4 linked regions of the Drosophila melanogaster genome follow. The protein of the gene in region 3 interacts with the protein of the main gene of each other region in a pairwise test. Each region holds a gene or a part of one and is shown on either strand. Other genes may lie near its edges. The genes, in order: CG33080, Prosbeta1, p38b and Mlc1.

Region 1 (5,809 bases), on a different chromosome or scaffold from region 3:
TATTACTCTCTCGTTTTCCTTCTTATTTTTTTTTTGTTCTCTTTTTTTTTTGGCCATTTACATGTAGCAAGCGCTTAGTTTAGATTTGTGTGTATTCCATATAATAATTAATAATACTATGCAACTAAAAACGCTCTCTCGTTGTTTATTTGATTATACTTTCTGTGTCTCGTGGCTGTTGAGCAAACAAAAGTGTTGGGCGTCTCAAATAGAAGCCACATATATCGAGCAAAGTATATACGCTAACAAGAAGATGCATTCCATAATAAGTACGATAGAACGATAAATTATCAATGTTTTCTAAACACATTTAATACGACAACAACACAGCTCGGCGAACATAAGCTAGATGAAAAATTGAAAATAAATAAATGCGTATGTGAACTGGAAGATTCATCAAAACGTTTAAGTGTACAACTAAACTAAATGAACAAATTTAACAAATTTATCGAAAACAAGCATAATAAAAGCAAATTGCATTTTTCCCCTTTTCAAAATTACTCAAATCATTTCTTGTGCGAATGCGGTGGTTTTGAATCGAATTATGTGGAAGATCTTAAGATATTCTCTTATTTAGTGGTTTGTATTACATAGTTGTATCTTTTTTGGCAGACTTCAAATTGAGTGTAGTCATCGGATAGCCATGGCAAAAATAGTCGTACTTATTGGCTTATTGAAATTACTCACACATAATTCGAGAGTTGACCAACTTTGGCGGTGACTTTGAATCGCGAATTGCATGATAATTTTGTTTTACCTGCCATCTGGGTTTATTAATTCTCAAACGAGGTGTCTATTGAATCGCCATCGCAACAGGTTATTTGTTTAGTTTTGAATACATTTCAGCAATTAGTCCCACTGTACTGGGTTTATCAGAAGCTGTAAATTTGGTTATGCCTGTTTTTTTTGTGTTTCACTAAATCGGTTTATTACCGTCTCTAATATGTGATTCAGTCCGATTGCCTCCATACGCTGCGTCTGCGGTACAGTGACCACAAGCTATGGTGGCCACACAAAATATGTATATATCGAGTAATTATTAATCTAATTATTTCAATTTAATTACTAAAATTACATATAAATTGAGATATTTATATATTTAACCAGAAGCGGTTACCTTATCTAGATACACCCGTACCATCCACACTTCTACCCTTTCCCGTGGCAATGATCATAAATATAGTTCAATCGTCAAATATTTGCGCACTCTAGACAATTTATGAGTGCAATTTGTTAAACAATATTGCGAATTAGTTGTGGCATTCCGCACCGTTAGATTATCAATTTGCGGAGCACTTGGTGAGAGAAGTTTGCCCATGGGGGGGTTGGGTTTGGGTTTGGATGTGGGTGGCTGCGTTGGTTTGGTTTACCTTATCAGGTAACACATGTAATTATTGAAAGGCGCTGCTCGATCGAAATGATCGGATCGGCGGGCGAACGAGTTTGGCTCTTGACTTTGCCAGTTGATTAAATTTTGTTTGACTTTTTATTCGTGTACACTTGGTGCTTTAAAACAAGGTCGAGAATTTTGCGGAGAGCGACGAGAAGGGAGTCGGTGCGAGATTACGCCTAATTAGCCAGGCAAACAAATGCGATCCACGAAGTGGGCTTATGGCTAGAAAACGAACTTAATTAACTCATTCAGTGGGGCAACAGTCGCAGAGTTCAAATAGCTTTTAACGTTCGGTATACGGGGCGTATTAGCAATATCTGCGTAACCAGCGCACCCGGATCACAAATACACTGAAAGATTTGAATTTCAAAAACCGAAATTCTAGCACAATTATTTGGGGCTCAGCATGATGATTTAAGTTTTTGATATCTATATTTTTCATTTACACTGTTAACTGATTAATTTAGCCATAATATATATGTATGTGCAACTGTGATTGAGCATTTTTTTTTTTTCGATCGGTGTGTGCGATTATCGCCGACCGATGATAAGCGCTGATTAAAGGCAAACAGCGATGGCAATCGAAGCCGCCCGCTCACTGCCCGTCTCCCTCTGTCCGGCCGCCCAGCGCTCTCTTTCGCTCCGCCGGCGATTTCGGGTTCCGGTTGCCGCGCTCAACCCTTTTTTTCATTCGCCAGTGGAACGCGATCGCGTTTGGAACGCAGCCGCTGGAACTGAGAAGCGGCCGGTGAAATGGCTCAACCATCGCAATCGGGAGCCGCGCAGGCGCTCAACGGCCAGCATCCGGAGTTGGCCTTCGCGGATGCGGACACGGACGGAGATGAGCGACTGGAGGAGCATGGGCAGGAGCAGGAGCAGCTCCAGCTACTGGGTGCCATGCCCAGGAAGCAATCTCTCAGCGAGCGACGCAATGTGGATCTACCGCATTTGAAGATGGTCAACGAAAAGGAGCCGGAGTCGGCGACGCCGTCGCCGGAGGCCTTTGCACCGGGACTCCGACGCAATTCGATATCCATGCCCTCGGGCATTAATGCCCTGGATCTGGAGGCACTGCGTCTGCGACATCAGATGCAGCCGCAAGATGCGCTGCACGAGGAGATTGTAAGTACTGCACGCTTTTCATTTGAATTCATCAGAAAAATCTAGCATTCAGCATTGAATTCATCAGTGAATATTTTGTACCAATGTAAAATGAAGAATCTGGCGTAGGAGGTACATAAAAAGATTAGTTTACGACCCAGTTTATATCCATAGAAATTCCTCGAAAGACAAGTCGCTTCGGTCGCTCAGTTGCTTTAAAACAAAACTATTTTAAGTGGAAAATGTACATAAAACATTAAACAAATTAAAGGTTTAATTCATTCGTAAAGTACATAATCTTTGGAAAGGAGCTACCTTTAGAGGGTATTTAGAGTGCCGTTTTGCCATTTTTTTTTTCTTTTTTTGAAATATATAATTGCAGCAAACCAGTTGAGCAGTTAAGCCCCATTCGAAATTAAAATACAATGCGTAATTAAGCGAGGCGTCATCGCCTCTAGTCTGTTTCCTCGCGCTCGGCGAATCTCGTCGATTTACAGAAAAGTTACCCAAAAAAAAAAAAGATACAAACGTTAATTGTGCCTTAATTATATGAAGTTGGCAAACAATAAACATGTGACCAAAAACCCGAAATCCAGTTAATAGTCACATGATGGTCCTACGGTACAAATGGGCACCATTAATTTAGCACATTCACTAATCCAAAAACAAAATATATTTCTAAAGTGTCCATTCAATATATTAGTATATCACATTAAATGCCCATTAATATATGCATCGTGCTCCAAATACGAACTCATAGCTTTCGACATTTGCATAAACATTTATGCTAACAAGAATATTATCATTTAAAAACACTTTAATTTGGTACAAATTAAAACGAGTTGCCGTTTGAGGCAACCACTCAATCTTTAAACTTATTATATAAGTATATGTTTTTTATTTGTATTTTTTCATTTCAACAAAGACGCATGTAAGCGCGAAGCAAAAAAAATATGATTGATTGCCGATCTTTCGCACAAATATTTACATTATTCCGAACCCTGTGAATTCCAAACTAGAATATCTGAATTATTAGCGCATACGATATTTTTCCGTGGGAGATTTTTGTCTATTATTTTCGATGTGTTAAACACTCAAACTCATTACTGGTGTCGGGAAGTAGCGACGAATGCCGTGCGCTAATTATAGAGCTGCAAACAAGCCGACGGGCGGACGGAGGGGGCGTGGCCAGGCCAACGAGGCGTATGTGTGATGTGACCAAGCAATCAACTGTCACATAGCGAGAATATAACACATACGCAGTGTGGTCAGTGTGAGCAATATGCCCAAAAGTATGCAATGCGAAACGCAACTTCTTTGATGGCAGGCAAAATATAAATTTTCGAAGAGAGGTGAGAAAATGTGGAATGAACAGAAATATTGAAAGGGTGACATAAATGTCACACCACGACGATTTAATTAGACAGATTCTCTCTGTTTCATTTCAAGCTATTCAAATAACATTTGATTTTGGAACGAAGCTCATTTTAAATTGGAATATTTAGCATTCAGTTTGTTCAAATTACTTGCAGTGCATTCATATTTATGGCCATTCGTCATGAAGTACGGCTAATATACCAAGACCGCAGTACGTCGCCAATCAGGGTAGCCGCAATTAATTTACGACTACCGGATTATTCTATCAAAATCAAATTCCGCACTCTTTCGAGCCGACTCAACTAGCTCATGATTGTTCTGAGTGTGGGTGTCGATATTTTCACTCAACGTAGCGCTGCCGACGCCGACTGCGGCAGAGGCTGCGAGAGCGAAGCGATTAAAACGCATAAATTGAGGCTTCAAAAACAATATTCAGGCAATAGCGAACCAGCAATTATCAACGGTTAACAGTGCGATCGCGGCACTAACGTCGTTCGGATCGGTTATAATTATTTGGCAACTCGAAAATATCGGCGATGCGAACTAGGTCAATCAAAGTTAACAGCAAACTAATAGAACAACGACTATCCTAATTAAATATAAACAATTTGTTTTTGTTTTACCTATTCTGTGACTCAGTGAAGTGTTTGATTGAAAACCCACAATTTAGTGCTGTGATAACATAAGTATTGCACGGTATAATCGTTGAGTGTCCACAATGAGCTCATCCAACAGCCGATTCATCCTCTCGAGCGTTCCCATCGAGGATCAGCAACACCCAGCACCGAATGTTAGACACAACGCCGTTGTGCTCGATATCAGTGCGGCTATGGATAAGGATAAGGCAGGTACTAAGTGTGGCTTGTAGCTTATGACGTACTCCATTCGATTCGATGCCATTTTTTCCGGGCTTGCCGTTATATTGTACGGGAGACACCTTGACTGGGTATTCTCTGCGGTAACGCCTCTGTGCTAATTGCACTCACCTTGCCCAAGTGCAGGTGTCAAAAGCCCAGAACCCATATGTATATGAATGGTATGGTATGGTATAGCCCAACCAAAATGCCATACTTTTCAGTTACAATCGCTTGCTGTTTGCTCTATCAATCCAGCTATCTGTGTAGTGTAGCAAAAAAGGAAATCTATCTGTTTGACTATATAAATTCTAATTTTTCAGATAGCCGACGATGCGACCTCCAGCCTGGGCACACCGGCCACTCCGGATACGCCGGGCACTACGGCGCCGACGACAACGGCCAATACGCCGGATAAGGCCATCAATTTCGCCAACGATGACAGCGATGACGAGTTCGGGAACGCCAGAAGACCAGTTCATCGGTGAGTGATTAGATCAACTACTACCACTACCACCGATAACTAACTAAGTAAATTTCATATATGCGGTTCTTGTATTTAAATAATTGGAGCTACTTTCAATTATGACCCACGCTGTCGTTGGGCACTTTTGCCCATTTGATTCATCGGGCAATTAGATTAATTAATCGAAAGTCGCTGCCTTTTGTCTCCGAACGACAGTAATTCAATTGTGGCGTCGGCACTGCCAGTGGAACGTGCCTTTCCCCACATTCCTCCCGACCTACCGCCCATTCCGAGTATCGGTTGCAACTACTGCCCACTTCCATGCTAATTCCGCAGCGATTTTCATTTGACTTTTCCCCCGCCTCGACACTGCGAATTCCTATGATTACCCACATGGAAACGCCAAGGTGTTGGACCAATGGCAGTTATTATCAAAGTGATAGGCACACAAATGGCGGGTGTAAAAAACAGTTTAGCTATTTGCAATAGTTACTATCAATTATATCTGTTACATATCGATAATTTGGGAAAAGTATCTATTAAAGAACTTTCGGTGCAGCTCAGGATTTATTTGTTCATAAATATTTACGGCAATGAGTGTGCTGACACGGCATTTAA
Region 2 (4,366 bases), on a different chromosome or scaffold from region 3:
AGTGCCATCCGGCAGCTATATCCTGGATGTCCACCACCCGGATGTTTTCTATGAGCCGGTCAGTTAAGGGAATCCATTCAATATGATGCCAGAATCACTAAAAATTTCTTCAATTGCAGGTGCGCGTCGAGATCAATCCCAAGGGCAAGTTCCGCGCCCGCAAAGTGAACTTTGTGCAGCCCGCCCAAATTATGCAGGTGGCATATCCCCTGCGCGTGAAGCCACTGATGCCCTTTAAATACTTCCAGACCAGAGAGCAGTGGAAGGTGCATCATTATATTGCCACCAACGGAAGAATCACAAAACTAACTTTTGCTCTTGACCCACACAGATCACCGACTTCTTGTTCAGCCCCATGGTCCTAATGATGGTCTTGCCTCTGCTCCTTATGCTGGTGCTGCCCAAGATGATCAACGATCCCGAGACAAAGAAGGAGATCGACAATCTGCAGTTCCCAAAGGTAAGCCGTGAGGATCATGTATAGCACAGCACTATAGTATTATATGAATCATGCTCTGCTCCACAGATGGGCAACGATATGCCCGAGATCAGCGAAATGCTGACTTCACTGCTAACGGGCAAGCAGCCCGAGCCCAAGGAGAAGAAGCCTGCTCCGGCCGTCAGGCAGGCGAAGAAGCGCAAGGACCAGTAGTAGTTGGCCACCAGATAGCTTTTAGTATTAAGCTTAATCGGAGCGCCGAGCTCCAAGTCAGAGTCAGATCGTTTAAATAGTAAATTTTCATTACAAGACTTTGCCGCTTTATTTAAGAAATCCTACTATTTGCGGTCGCTTGAGTCCGACGCGCTGCTGCTCCAGATTTAGCATTTTAGTGAGCAGCCGGTCCAGATGCTCGCCAATGGCCAGACCCAGCTCCAGACAGTTGCGCATGGTGTCCCGGTGCATGGCTCCGCCGCCGGTCAAGTGTGTACCCGAAAGGAATGCCTGTCCATTCCGCATGGAAACTGACACAACCATGCTCACTGTGCTGCAGACTTCCTCCTCCGCCGAAGGATCCACCAGGACATAATCACCGATCTTGCAAACTGTGACCAACAGCGGAACCGTCTCGATGCCGATGCGGGTGCAGTCATACGGATTGTCCGATATGATGAGGTCTGTGATGCCGGCATCCAACATGGTGGCTGTCACCCGGGGCAGCTTTGTGTTGAACAGAGCCGCTTTGGCGGCCAGCGACACTGCGTCGTGTAGATTGCCGCCACACTCCAGAATCTGCGAGAACAGGGATTAGCATTTTCGGTATAATTAAGCACACTAGAGTCTAACCAGGATGTCTATGTACAGCTTCCAGCACTGCTGACCCGGAATGAGGCACAACGTGCGGTAGTTGAAGGCCAATGGCGATTCGTAGGCGTTCTGCAGGGAGAGAATAAGTTCTTGGGCCAGATCCGAGCCCCCGCGTCCTTCAAACTCCGGCGTGGCATTAGCAGAGCTGAAATATATATGTTATGGCATATTCTTCGAACTTCAGTTGCATCATTACCAATCCACAAAAAATTCCAGTTTACCAAACTCGGGCGTCAGCGGGTTGGGTACATCAATCTCGGTTTTGACGCCCACCAGTATGTCTGTGTTCGCCAGCCGAAGGCGAGCGGATCCACTGGCATTGCTAACCAGTCCAGTTTCCAGGTCCATGGGCCGGTAATCTCGTCGTGAACGTCCATCGCAACGAAAGTCATCCTGGAAACGCATAGTTTAAGGTACAGACTATATTTCTTGCATAACCGTTTAACACACCTCCACGCCGTGTAGAATATATGTTTTTTCAGCTTCGCTCAGTGCAACGTATGCCATTTTAGACTTAATTCAAGAAAACAAATATTCAAAACAAATTCAACATGTGCAATGAACCCACATCGATACTATCGATATACCGCAAAGCAGGGCTGCTGGCACTTCGTTTTTACTTTACTGAACTGTTGTCAGTGCGAAAGGTGTATGTTTTCATTTGAAGCATTTCATTTCACATCGCCATCTGGTAACACTTATCCAAAACAAGCCAGTCATTTCGTGTTCGTGCGGCGTTTCAACAAATATCAATTGTAAATTGAATTGTAACAAATTTAAAGATCAATATGCAGCCCGACTTTGATTTCACCGACACACCGGTCAGCACTGGTGTAAGTATGAAGAGCATCAGCCACATAACTTCGTACTAAGAGCACAATCCTACCTATTTGCAGACCACCATTATGGCAGTGGAGTTCGATGGCGGAGTGGTCATTGGAGCCGATTCGCGCACCAGCTCGGGCGCCTATGTTGCCAATCGGGTCACCGACAAGCTGACCCGCATCACGGACAAAGTGTACTGCTGCCGCAGTGGCTCGGCCGCCGACACCCAGGCCATTGCCGACATTGTGGCCTACTCGCTGAACTATCACGAGAATCAGACCAACAAGGATGCTCTGGTGTTCGAGGCCGCCTCAGAGTTCCGTAATTACTGCTACAGCTACCGCGAGTCCCTGCTTGCCGGCATCATTGTGGCTGGGTGGGATGAGCAGCGCGGCGGCCAGGTGTACAGCATCCCGTTGGGCGGCATGCTGACCCGCGAGTCCTGCACCATCGGCGGATCGGGATCTAGTTTTATCTACGGATTTGTTAGGGAGCACTACCGCCCCAATATGGCGCTGGAGGATTGCGTTACATTCGTCAAGAAGGGTAGGTAATCCCAAAAAAACCAAAACAGTTTCCCTTCAATCGAATCCCATTTAAACCTCCTCCAACAGCTGTCCAGCACGCTATCTACCACGATGGCAGCTCCGGTGGTGTGGTGCGCATTGGCATCATCACCAAGGATGGCATCGAGCGACGCATCTTCTACAACACAGAATCGGGCGCATCGGCTGTTTCCAGCACTCCCAGCTTCATTTCCTCGGAATAAATAGTATACCTACCCAAGTAAGATCGATCAGAGAAAGAGTTGCAAACTCGTCTCATGCTAATAAACCTGGTTTTTGTAATATGCATACTTTAATTTGTATTTTGGCTCTTATGGCAGTACAAAAGTTAGGTCTAGGGGCTAAAATGGTAATAAATAATCGAAAACCTAAACCTAAGATGCATAGTCATACAGATAGTGCTGTTCCTGACACTGGTCCTTCCTCACAACTCAGATAACTACTGCGGCGAGAGTGGAATGTTCCCTACGGGGAAGTCATTTCATCGCCTATCACATGACAGTCAATACCGATATCCTTCGCTTAAACTCTTATCCAGTCAGGTAGTGACCAGAGATTTAGGAGTTGAGTTTGGCCACTTCAGCTGCGTCTATAGACTGCGTCTCCATGGACTTGTTGGTGGCACATCGCTGCCTGCGGTGGCGGTACAATATCTCCGGTGTCCAAACAAGAACCACCACCAGCAGAATGACTCCTTGAGCATAAAGGCAGATTAGGTAGGAGTCGGCGTAGTCTCGCACCCATCCCAGCAGCTGGCCCACTGTGATAACAATAACGCCCTTGGACATCATGCTCAGACCCAGACCGCCGGCCAGTTTTTCCGAGCGGCAATGCGCCGATATGGTGAGATTGTTGTTGATTACAGTGGCTGATTTCATCATGCCTGTCAACACAGACATGGTGATGATCACGGGCAGCGTTTGATTCTCGGCAAGCACACAGCGAGCGACAAAGAGTCCAACAATGCCGATCAGGAACACTACGCGATAGGGTATTCTAAGGTGATCTGTGACGATGGGCAGCAGCAAACGGAACACAATGTCGGCGCCAGCCACAAGGGACATGCAGAAGGCCACCATTTGGCTGTTAAGTTGTGCCGTTTGTCCAAGAAAACCAGGAAAGATCATCGTGAAGTTTATGGTGGCCGTATAGACTAGAGCCATGCCCACAATGATGCTCCAGAATACTAAATCTTTGAGCAGCTCCAGATCCATTGCCTGTACCAACCGCTGTCCCATTCGGCTGCACAGAGTATCCACATTTGGCGGGCTACGCTCGATCTTGCTTTGATTAGTCGGAACAATCACCACCTGAAGGGGACTAGTCTTTTCCCCATCGGCCTCGGTCAGGAGTCGAATGTGTTTGCGGTTGTTGTGCTTGGCAGGTGGGTTTAGTGGTTTCAAGAAGGCAGCACCAAAAAGCTGTAAGGTACTCGGGCTGTAAGCATTGGATCAACATAATATTATATTCTTAACTTACCCCAAATAGTGATAGGGAAGACATGGATAGGACTGCGTAGCGGAAGCCGTGGTTATCCAAGAGGTAACGCACTAGGTGAGGGATAAGCACCTGTCCAAGGCCAGCACCTGCCAATGAAACACCTACAGCCCGTCCTCGTTTAGTGGTGAAGTACGAGTTAATGGCCATGAATGTGGACGGCGAGATGAGG
Region 3 (5,144 bases):
GGAATAATTTCAATTTGTGATTAAATTTTGCAGCTTCATTTTATTTATCGTTTAATATATAGCGTAAAAATAGCCAGAGTAGGACCACAGTCTTCGATATATCGATAGGCAGTGCCCTGAAATCGAAGTCTGTTTATTATAAATTTTTTATCATAATGAGCGGCTCGCAATTATTCCCAGTGAATCTGAACAACCTGAGTGCCAAGGAGCGACACAACTATATACTTAGTAATTACGTGCTTAACCTACCGAATGAGACGGAATCACGTCGGCACAAGCGAGACATCGATGTAATCCGAGAGAATCACCGCTTCCTGTGGGAGGACGACGAGTTGGATAGCGACACCCTAAGCTGGGAGCAGCGCTTGGCCCTGCGATACTACAGGAAGCTATTTAAGGAGTACTGCATCGCGGACCTGTCCCGCTACAAGGAGAACAAGATAGCGCTGCGCTGGCGAACGGAGCAGGAGGTGGTCACCGGAACCGGGCAGTTCCAGTGCGGCAGCCGGCATTGCGGGGAGCGGGATAATCTGCGCAGCTGGGAGGTAAACTTTAGGTATATCGAAAAGGGTGAGCCCCTAAATGCGCTGGTCAAGGTGGGTTCCAAATGGGTTTCCGCGATTGTGTCACTAATGGGAATTCCATAGGTGCGGCTGTGTCCCACCCACACGGATCAGCTGAACTACCGCACCAAGAAGAGAGAATGCAAGAAGCGGAGACGCAGGGAAAAGGAGGAACGGCGCGCTGAAAAGAAACGTAAGCGTCGAAAACTCGATGTTGGTCACGAAAGTTCTGGCGAAGAGGAGGAGGAGCCTGTCGAACCAGCATCCGAATCCCATCCAGAAGCCAGCAAGGAGCCCACAGACTCAAAGGATGCCACCACGGCAGACGAACAGATCTGGCAACAACAACCCGATATAAGCCGAGAGCAAGCCTCCAGAGAGCAGGAATTCGAGCGATATCTAGAGGATCTCATTTTTTAAAATACATAGCACATTTATTTGGATTCAACGTAGACACTAGTGCTCTTTTTTATAGTTACTGGCCGCTAGATGCGTTCGCTTACGAACTACGATGTACATGTACACTCACATTTACAGGATTATTCACAAGAACTGCGTGTTAAAACCGACACCAAATCTAAAGTTGAACTGGACATTAAGGCTGTGACTCTGATTGATTTTTGGAAACATTTCCGAATGGCTACATTTCAGGCATGCACCTAGTTCAATCGCTATTTCTATATCCATCGAATGCAAATCGAAGGTTCGAAAATACAATACTATTTCACCTTACGTTTGTGGTCAAAACAAATTGTTGAAATCCAGCCACTGAAGAGTTTCTAAATATAAATCGCTCTAGAATAAATATCCCCGATTGTTTACACTCGACGAGTAGAGAAATCACGACTGAGCGCATCCGCTTGAACTAGGTGTAGAAAAGACTGTTCTAATTGTATATAGCATCATTGAACGGAGAGGGATGGCGGCCGGGATTACTGCTCTTTGGGCAGGAGCTCAGCGAAGGCGGCTGTGGGCTTGAAGGCCGTCACCTCGCTGAAGACCATCTCCCGCCACTTCTCCACCGGCAGCTCGTTCTCCTCGAAGCTCTGGTCGTAGAGCGCGGCGGTCTGCTCATCGGTTGGATCGTGGTACTTCTCCATGTACGGATGGGCCAGCGCCTGCTCGGCGGTTATGCGCTTGTCGGCGTCAAGTTCCAGCATCTTCTCCAGCAAATCGATGGCCAGCGGATTGGCACCGCGGAAGATGTCGCGGAAATTGCGGCGCGGCATCACCGGCAGTGAACGAATATAGTTTCTAGCGCTCTCCGAGGAGATGCGGCTCATGAACTCATCAGCTGGCGTGCCCAGCACTTCCATGATGAGGTTCAGCTGATGGATGTGATCGGTTCCAGGGAACAGCGTGCGCCCAGTCAGCAGCTCAGCCATGATGCAGCCCACCGACCAGATGTCCGCCGTCTGGTTGTAGTGCATCCAGTTGAGCATGATCTCAGGCGCCCGGTACCATCGCGTTGCGACGTATCCGGTCATCTCGCTTTCTGCGGGACGGGCCAAACCGAAATCCAGGATGCGAAGCTCACAGTCCTCGTTTACCGCAATGTTCGATGGCTTTAGATCACGATGGATGACCCCAGCGCTGTGGATGTACTTCAGACCGCGCAGGATTTGGTAGACCAGAAACTGGACATGATCATCAGACAGTTTCTGCGTGCGTATTATGTTGTTCAGATCGGCGTCCATCAAGTGGGTCACCATGTACACTTGCTGGAACTGATCCAGCGAATCGGCGGGCTGTCCTGGATGAAAGACATCCAGCAGACCAATAACGTTCTCGTGATCCATGTGCTTCAGCAGCCGCAGTTCCCGATAGGTGCGCTTCGCATGGACCGCCGACTGGAAGGGCCTGGCAAGCTTCTTGATGGCCACCTTCGTGCTGGTTCCGCGGACCACGGCCTTGCAGACCTGGCCGTAGGCACCCTGACCCACGGGTTGCAGGTTCTGGTATGTTTCCGGGATTTCCCACTCGGTGCGATTGATGTCCAGCTTGTAGAATTTGGCCATTTTGCGCGACATTTCGTTGGGATGTTCTGTACGCTCAGGTGCGGTGCTATAATGTTATTAATCCGCTGGCTCTTTTTTTGGGCAGTTCTTCTTCTTGCTTGTGGGATTAGTTATCTCTGTTCCACACTTCGCGGCCTCAACATTGCTGGAAATGAGTAATCGTACCGGGTATTACGGGAAAACGTAGCTAATTTCGGGTATTCCTGCCCAGATTCATTTGTATCTGCACAAATAAGTTGCAACTTACATCTCTCGGATTTTATTTATGCTATTCCGCTGCGCCTACACCTTTTCTGATTGGACAACAACGCTGTCTTGGCTATCGATAACCGCAAATGGGTCCGATTTCCAATCAGCTGCTGCTCGTTTATGCGTTAACATGGTTGGCTTTAGGGTGTCCCCTACAAAAATCAGAGTCCATCGAGGCAGCGGATCAATTCACAAAGCTTCTGCGCAGTTTGGTTGACAGAGTACATGATCGTCACAAACAATAATAATAATTAGATTTTTATATGCAATTTTGATTAAAGTTTTTAAGATTATATTACAATTTAAATACTTTCAATATTATTTGGAGAGTTCTATGTATGTATTCTTTATTATCACACCTTTGAGAATAAGAAATATTTAAATTAAAAATGCATTAATTAAAGCAAAAAATGAACTTATATGAAACCATAAACTCGTGAATAATGTGGTAATATCATCCACTTCAGTAAATACTTAGTTATACGTTAAAAATATAATTTTAAGGTAGAGTACTCCCTCGTCGACCATGGACATAAAGCTAATTTTAAAGCTTAACATGGGCCGGTAACAGAAGGCGGTCAGTTGGCGCAAGCTGGTTTAGTTTCAATCGGTCGCTCGTTGGCAGAACATCGAAGGTCCGGGTCGTGACGCTTTTCGCCCGAACGTTTTTTGCACGAGTTTTTTCCATACGTATTTGTTCATTGACAAAAACTCAAGCTGCGCTCTGTGCGTGCGTGTGTATGTGTGTGTGCGAGTGAGTGTGTGTGTGCTGGCGCGTCTGTGTGAGTGCGGTGCTTTGTGTGCAGAATAATTTTTGCAAACATTATGTAAATGCGCAAATTAAAGTTCAATCGACGCCCGTTTTGAGTACGAAACCAGATCGCCTTGCTTTAAGTGCCACGGAGCTACAGTTTCTTTTCGTACCCAATTTTTCAAAGATATACTCCCTCAGTAGGCAGGCACGCACACAAACATACACAGGATCTCAAACGATCCCCCGGATATACCTTTACCGTTAGGAAAATTCAAAATGGCCACGACAGCGGCCGCAATGGCCGCAACGAGTGTAGTTGTTCTGGATCGCGGAAACAATACAACCTGCACCATCAACTTGCACGGTGAGCAGAATGTCTTGAAACAATGATAAACAACAAATGAATAGCTGGCGAACAATTAATCATAATTAAGAAGACACCACCAGCACTTTGCCAAAATTTTGTTGGCGTTATTTTTAGCGGATGATTGGCGCTTAGACTCTTCCGAAACCGAAACCCGTTTCGCCCCCTATTCTCGATGTATTCGCGACCTCTGGAGGTTATCAATTCGTTCTGGAAATAACCTTGTTTTTACCTTTCGCTGTTCTACGCACCAGCCAGAGGGCCTTTGCTATCTTATCAGCCGAGATCGTCGCAATTTAGGCGCTATATGTACATATATGCCCCCACTCGATCCAATCGCTGGGGATCAGTTGGGTTTCGGTTTTGGAAAAGCTTAGAGCTTGGAGTTTGGATCTTGGAGATCGGATCGATGCGGCTCCTACTCGCAGCACATTTCGATTAGGCGTCATATATATGTATATGGTTCGTACATATATGTATACAGGTCCCTCTCTATGAGCACCTATGTACATATGTATGTATGTGAGCTGGCACTGGTGTACCCAGCGTACTTTCAACAATTACGACTGCCTGTGTCTGGGCTGCCCACGTTGCTTTCCAAGTCGCAGCCGTTTGAGCAACAGTCAGACGGCCAGAGACACAACAGCGTTTGGAACAGACAGCATATCGTACACCGGAAGAAATAACTACATATATATCTAATGGAAATTCTTGAGATCTTCATAGTTTCTTATCGGAAAGAGTTTCAGTGGCTAAGGCATTAAGGATTAAAGATCTTTACTAAATTCACTTGCAATGATTTTCTTAAAGATATTTATATGATCCCATGTATATGATTATTTTTCGTGTTCCACTTACTCTTCCTCTTCAATTAAATGGCCTGTGAAAAACTAAGATATATACTTAAACTGATGCATTGTTTTCCTTTCAGTGTATCTTATCACATGTAATTCGAACAATGTTAATTATTAGTTTTCGGAGGAGCTTTAACTAAACTCGACACCAAAGTGTTTCCAATCATAATAATCAAGGTGCCAGAGCAGTGGCTACGGCCTGTCGAAAGCCCATCGCACATTGGGGCCAACTGAGCGAGATTTTGGGGAATAGCAGCAGCTCCTCCCACGCAGCCAAGTGCTCACCCACCCATTGGCCGTAGGCCATCGTCATGCCCAGAGATCCATACCCGTAGCGTAACC
Region 4 (6,514 bases), on a different chromosome or scaffold from region 3:
CTTGGACAGTCGTCACTAATTGCAGAACCTTTCATGGGCTGGCGACCGAACAGGGACACTGAAGCACTTTTTGTTTGATTTCAATTTGTGTATTTTTCCGTTTTTGCCCTTTTTTCTGTTGTCTAACGAGTAGTTTTTTTTTTTTTTTTTTAGTTCTGCAAGGGCTTACCTTGATTTGCGCGTTGCCAGTTTCGGATAACGTTTACGGCTGAAGCGTTCGGATGCAACTGAGACAAGCGTCGTTAACTGACGAGCTCTGAGCTCCCCGTCGTTGTTATCCTCTCAGCCGGCCGCGTCCTCCGTTTGCCATCGTTTCCAATGCCGACAGCAGCAGGCCAGCAGTGCGTATACAGGATATTTTGCCGAGAAACACACACAAACGCAGAGAGTCGTACAACCACCCGCACTCAGTATTAAGTATACGCACTGAATGGACGGGAAAAAAGGCTGCTCTCCGTGTAAGGGGTGTCCTTGCACTTGTTATGGCATGCCATAACACACTCTCCCATCGGGACACCCTGTTTGCGAAGCACACTTATCAATGATAACAAATGCCTGAGGATGGGCATTGCGTATACGCCGTGGGGTGGCCATTAGTACTCCTTTGTCTACGAGTCTTTGGGACTGCGACTGCGAATAAATAGTGTAGTATTAAAGTAGTAATGGCCAAAAATAAGTCACTGTCCCTTTCGGACTTGAGTGGAAATTAAATCCATAGCCTTTGTTCATTAATTAATCTTCTAGCTGATTAAGCACGCTTTATCCTTGCTAAGTTCTTGCCAAGTTCTTTCTGTATCTTATTTTAAGATAAGCATTTGAGATATATTTTAAATAACTTGATTACCAGCACAAAAAGCCCTTAGTGTAAATGTTGTTTACAGAAATGAGTTCTATAAATACAAGCACACAATTTCAGTCTCAAGGGGCTATTTATCAATGACTTGCGCACATTAATCTGCGCAGATTCGTGGCAACAATCGGCTGCTGATAGCAGATGTTCAATCAAGGACCAAATCGGCCTAAATACTCATGCACCAGTTACCCGCTTGACAACAGGTGGTGCCCCAAGGAGTAAACAATAACAAGGCCAGGGAGGCTGCGCGGCCAAAAGCCGAGCCGAGGACTCAATGGATTGAGAGATAGGACGAGACAGGACAGCCCAGAGAGTGGGTCTGATGAGCATCAGCCGGAAGTTGGGCACACAGCTGGGCTCAAAACTGGGTCAAAGAAGGACCTGTCCGATGGCACGAACATGGACGTGTGTACATCTACATTTACATAGAAAGTCAAGGACATGGGTGCATGGAAATGGATGTGCCGGCAAAGCCAATGGCCTGCTTGGCTTAATTGCCACTTCCTTGCCAGATTTGCCGCCTTTTAAGCACCTCGCTTACCCTTCAGGCTTGATCGGTCATTATATACCTACCACCCACCATTTGCCTATGCAAACAATTCGAGCATTTAGTTGTTGCTGTACATTTTTGCTCTGAATACGCTTCATGTATCTGTGTCATAGTTTTTATAAATAGCACGCATTAAAATGTTGTACAGGCGGCACACACAAGGCACAAGAAGGCGCCTGAGGGGCCAGTAATGCGCCTTCTATGTAGATGAGATGCCAACGAGGAATAGTATGCTTTTGGAGCATGTATAGTGTATAAATATTGAAAAAGGCTGGTGTTCAGGTGTTCTGGCAGCGGACAAACAAGAAATCGGCCATTTAACACCCCCACATACGACCGGCTGACAAAACATTTCGAATGATAACAGGCAAGACCTGAGAAATACGTACGTTTGCCAAAAAGACGATCAGGGTCGATGAGTGTATAAATATATACATGTATAGGCCACATTTATAGTACATAGCCCCATAGCCCCATCTAAACATCTAAACATACCCCGTAAAACCCCAGCATGGAAGCTCAATCTATTGCGCAGCGCTAAACAATCAATTCTCAAACCCATTCTCCTCCCGCCTGAATGAGAAAATATTATATTATCTGCAAAATCATCTGTAACATCGAATGATATTCAACACTATCCGGCTGGGAATGCCACAAGCGATTATTATTTTGCCTTCACGAACGAAATAAAAAGAAATATTCACAGAATAGCCGAAAAAAAACAAAATGCTTAAAAATAGCCCGGCTAGAGAGCGGACAACAAATGGCTCTGGCTCCATAGGAGAGCCTCCCAATATCTGGTGGTCGTTGGGATCCATGGGATCCCAAAAGAGAGTGGCATTCGAAAAAGTTCCCCCAAGATGAAAGTAAATTCTTGCCATCGCACATACTACAGCATATATTTTGGTGTGTGTATAGCCTTGCGCAGGAAAAGAGCGAGCGTTTCGTCATCCATTCGTATTCGTATTCGTTTTTGAATTCGTTTTCGAAGCTATAGCTGTAAATGTATCTGTATCTGTGTCTGAGTGCTCGGCGATCGGCTGGTTGGCTTTCACCTCAGAATTACCTTGCCGTACTGCCACTGACGAATAACGTTCAGTCGAGACCGAGCTCATCCGCGATACAGTTGATTTTCGCATCAAACAGACAAAATGGTGAGTGCCCAGTCGGCCAAGGAGTCTTCACACATCTTCCACCAATATCCAGTGATATAGATGTACATAAATATATGCAGCAGCTGAAAACTGAAGATTTTCCACACTCGAACTAATGCCAAACTCTCAAATCTTTTTCGATTCCGTTGACAGGCTGATGTTCCAAAGCGTGAAGTTGAAAGTAAGTTAAAACCCCGCACGAAAAGGATTATCTTTAACCTCAAACGAAATCCATCAAAGTTAAACCAACATATTAAATGAACGAGGTAACGGAAAACCCAGCAGAAAGGACTAAAAACAAGTATTATAATATCCATAAAAATACAGATTACATAATGTGCGCGTGTGAGATACACAACAAAAAGTACACAAAAGTCGGTGAACATATTTCGTAATCACTTGGAATATATCGCATACATATACGCATGCCTATATATATAACACTATGCGGAAAATTTTCATTAAGGAATGCTGTCGTCTATATGCATCGCCTGAGCTATTTTCATCGATCGACCATCCAAAACCAGAACGGATAAAGGTTGCCAACACAATTCCGGTAGAGAAAATCTAGTGCAAAGTTAAGTTTGATTTGCGTTATAGAAAAGCCGCGGAAAACAATGAAAATCGTGTGTGTATATGTCGCGAACCCGAACGCGCGATCCTCGTCTTCGAGCCGAAATGCTTCTCGTTTAGAGATCTAATTTTGGCCAAGTTATTTCTTTAGATTTATTTTCGATCAAACGCACAGCGAAAGAGATGAGCAAACTATGCGACTTTGTGTGTGTATATACGCCTATATACTGTGTATATAGCGCAGACGAGGGCGAAGGCGTTCGGTTCGGGTGTCGGATTACGTATACGTAGTGTGTTCTCGGGGCTGGCAACTCTCCCAGATCCGCACTCACGCATACACTCACACACTAAGTAGGCAATGCCCAGCAGCCATGTCAAGATTTTCATGATGACCAAAAATGTGCGTACCAGAAATTTCAGGGTTACCACATCGACCCCGTTTTCGAAAATAAAAAGGGTGGTCAACACCCACCTCTGCTAAAGTATTTTTAAAAACAATTAATGAGGCAGCATAATAAAATGAAACGAATAAAAACAAAAATTTGATGGGATTTACGTTTGATCGACTAACATGAACATGAAGATGTAAATGCTAATCGAGTTCCTTTTGCGCAGATGTCGAATTCGTTTTCGAAGTCATGGGCTCCCCCGGTGAGGGCATTGATGCCGTCGACCTAGGTGATGCCCTCCGCGCTCTGAACTTGAACCCCACCTTGGCGCTGATCGAGAAATTGGGCGGCACCAAGAAGCGCAACGAGAAGAAGATCAAGCTGGATGAGTTCCTGCCCATCTACTCACAGGTCAAGAAGGAGAAGGAGCAGGGCTGCTACGAGGACTTCATTGAGTGCTTGAAGCTCTACGACAAGGAGGAGAACGGCACCATGCTGCTGGCTGAGCTGCAGCACGCCCTGCTGGCGCTTGGTGAGTAATCAACATGCATATATCCTGGGATATCCCTCTAAATCATTGTGTGCATTACAGGTGAGAGCTTGGATGACGAGCAGGTGGAGACCCTGTTCGCTGACTGCATGGATCCCGAGGATGATGAAGGATTTATCCCCTACTCTCGTAAGTATTCGTTCAATGGACGATACTCATCTAATGTTTTTTGTGCATATACGATTTGTAAACGCCGTTTGTCTATTCCACATGTCACTCTTTGTCTGCGCACAAACCAAAAAAATCCCCACCATTCTGCACTGTGCACTTTGTACCACCAACTCGACCTGAAAAACACCAACAAACCTAAAAATATGTGTATGCGTGTATCCATGTTTGCGTGTCCATTCCTCCAACACTACACTCGCAAAAAAAAAAAAAAACCGACCAACTCCCGAATGTCAAACGTATGGTCTCTGCACGGTGATTGCGTCTTGTTTACCCGCCGTTTGTCGCCGATCCACTTGAAATTGAATGAAAACAGAGTTCGTCCAGCGCCTGATGAGCGATCCTGTCGTCTTCGACTAAACAGTAAGTAGGGATGGAGCCCATGGCCACTTCGCCGATCTCTGGATGTCTACTTGTCCAACAAATTTGGGGAATACCTTGCTAATATGGCCCTTTTCTTCGTCTACTCCACAGCATTCCTCGCCAGAATGTGTGACAGACCAGATCAGCTAAAATAGTTGAAAACAACAGCTTCAACAACAACCAACAAACAACAACAACAACAACAACAACACCAACAAACTTTTAGCGACAACCATTCTCCATAGATGTTATATTCATCGCTAACTCTCTCTATCTCTCTCGTATATTATTTTAATTAAAAATTACTTCTGCTACTACAACTGCAAAATTGAACTTCAAGATAATATTATTTTTTAAAAAATAAAAAAATTTAAATTATAAAATAACGAAAACAAAAAAACTGAAAAATATTCAAAGTTTTGTGCACATTATTTTGTTATGAATTATTTTGTTGGTTCAGCCAAAAGCAAAGCAATAGTTAATGATTATTTTATATGAGACGTGAATAAACCAAATAGCAAATAATATAATGTTTAGGCAAATTCAACATCCGAAAGCGTCCAAAAAGGGCAGTTAGCAAAACGCCAAATGTGTAAATTGTGGCCTTTTTGCGTTCTCAATTTACCAAGTGAATGTGTGAAAGTGAAATAAGTCAAATGTATTTAAATAAACACTAAGAATAATTGTGCGGCCGATGAGGTGTTGCACAATCAATATAAAAGAAGATCAGGGTGGTGGAAAATTTGGGATTATGCTATATAGGCAGCCAATATTAATACAAGATGTGGCTGACTTGTTTAATAAACTAAAAGTAATAGAGAAAGTTTAAAAATCTTATACTGAATCCACAAAGAAATATCTAGATATTTTCGCCGCAGACTGCAATACTTCAGCTGAGACACAAACCACCAACGAGAAGCAGGCGAAAGACTAAAATACCGTGTACTAAAATGTCGTTTTCGCTTTTTCTCAACGAGAGAGAGCTTTCGAAATGTTTGTTAAGCTTAGAGCTTGGTTAATATGGTTTTTGTCTCTACTTTCGTAATTATTATTTATTTATTATATTAAAATAGTAAGTGTAAGAAGGGGTGGAAATACCCGCATCCTGGTATCTACCTTCCTCGTCTAGTCAACAATAACAATTATAAACTAATCACAAAAATAGCTTGGGGGTTGAGATTCCGCTGAGCTTTTGCGTCGACGTCGAATCAAAAAAGTGTCAGAAAAGTTTCGGTTAAATACGACGACTACGAATCAGTTGAAATCGAGATAACAAACCGACAAGCCGACCGAGCGGGAGCTGTCTCGCTTTTTTTAAAAATTTGCACCAGCAAAAATCCAAATAAATTAGCAGAGTGCCAGTGAAGTAAGTGAGCGTGAGTGCGCCAAGTCAAAATATAAATATTGTCATTTACGCCGTTTCAAAATATATTTCCGCGAGCATTTCTCGAATCGAAAGTGAACCCAAAATATATTATTCCAAGTGAAAAGGACTAGCCCAAAGATACACACACACACACACAGGAAAAATACCGACAGATCTGTAGTCCTTTTCGAGTTTTCCCGTGAGTGCAACAAATACAGACACACCACACACACACTCGTTCGACTTTCAATATGGCGGATGTCCTGGAGAAAAGCTCACTGCTGGATGCTGTGCCACCACTAGGCGACCCCCACCCACCGCTGCCCCACCAGCAGCTGCAACAGGAAGCAGCAGCAGCAGCAGCAGCAAATGCCGCACCACCAGCACCACCGCAGCAGCAACAACCACCACCCCATCAGCTGCAGCAGCAGCAGCCGCAACAACAGCAACTGCAACAGAAGCCAGCAAATGCGAGGGCTAATCAGGATCAAAAAGGTGAGGGCGTTGCAAGATACACAGAAAAGAAATGGTTCAGATTAAACCATATA

What was found.
Region 1: the proteins of p38b (region 3) and CG33080 interact in a two-hybrid assay, tested with the Drosophila melanogaster proteins (one large-scale study listed by BioGRID).
Region 2: the proteins of p38b (region 3) and Prosbeta1 interact in a two-hybrid assay, tested with the Drosophila melanogaster proteins (one large-scale study listed by BioGRID).
Region 4: the proteins of p38b (region 3) and Mlc1 interact in a two-hybrid assay, tested with the Drosophila melanogaster proteins (one large-scale study listed by BioGRID).

Annotation. Positions count from the first base shown.
Region 1 is NC_004354.4:5,714,052-5,719,860, reverse strand, and holds the start of CG33080 (uncharacterized protein), read left to right. Parts: upstream 1-2,082; 5' UTR 2,083-2,146; coding exon 2,147-2,515; intron 2,516-4,388; exon of another isoform or gene 4,389-4,589; coding exon of another isoform or gene 4,590-4,715; intron 4,716-5,048; coding exon 5,049-5,209; intron 5,210-5,809.
Region 2 is NT_033778.4:16,012,425-16,016,790, reverse strand, and holds Prosbeta1 (proteasome beta1 subunit), read left to right. Parts: upstream 1-2,003; 5' UTR 2,004-2,094; coding exon 2,095-2,139; intron 2,140-2,202; coding exon 2,203-2,677; intron 2,678-2,745; coding exon 2,746-2,900; 3' UTR 2,901-2,986; downstream 2,987-4,366. Other genes in the region: EMC7 (ER membrane protein complex subunit 7), read left to right, coding at 1-58, 120-266, 332-460, 527-652; Rrp42, read right to left, coding at 761-1,231, 1,286-1,451, 1,503-1,699, 1,757-1,813; CG8389 (uncharacterized protein), read right to left, coding at 3,255-4,118, 4,177-4,366.
Region 3 is NT_033779.5:13,778,449-13,783,592, reverse strand, and holds p38b (p38b MAP kinase), read right to left. Parts: upstream 2,905-5,144; 5' UTR 2,829-2,904; intron 2,727-2,828; 5' UTR 2,594-2,726; coding exon 1,496-2,593; 3' UTR 984-1,495; downstream 1-983. Other genes in the region: CG16890 (uncharacterized protein), read left to right, coding at 156-596, 648-983; CG9008 (uncharacterized protein), read left to right, coding at 3,861-3,948.
Region 4 is NT_033777.3:27,656,153-27,662,666, reverse strand, and holds Mlc1 (myosin alkali light chain 1), read left to right. Parts: upstream 1-2,489; 5' UTR 2,490-2,554; coding exon 2,555-2,557; intron 2,558-2,710; coding exon 2,711-2,738; intron 2,739-3,745; coding exon 3,746-4,051; intron 4,052-4,111; coding exon 4,112-4,198; intron 4,199-4,553; coding exon 4,554-4,597; 3' UTR 4,598-4,600; intron 4,601-4,711; coding exon of another isoform or gene 4,712-4,755; 3' UTR 4,756-5,589; downstream 5,590-6,514.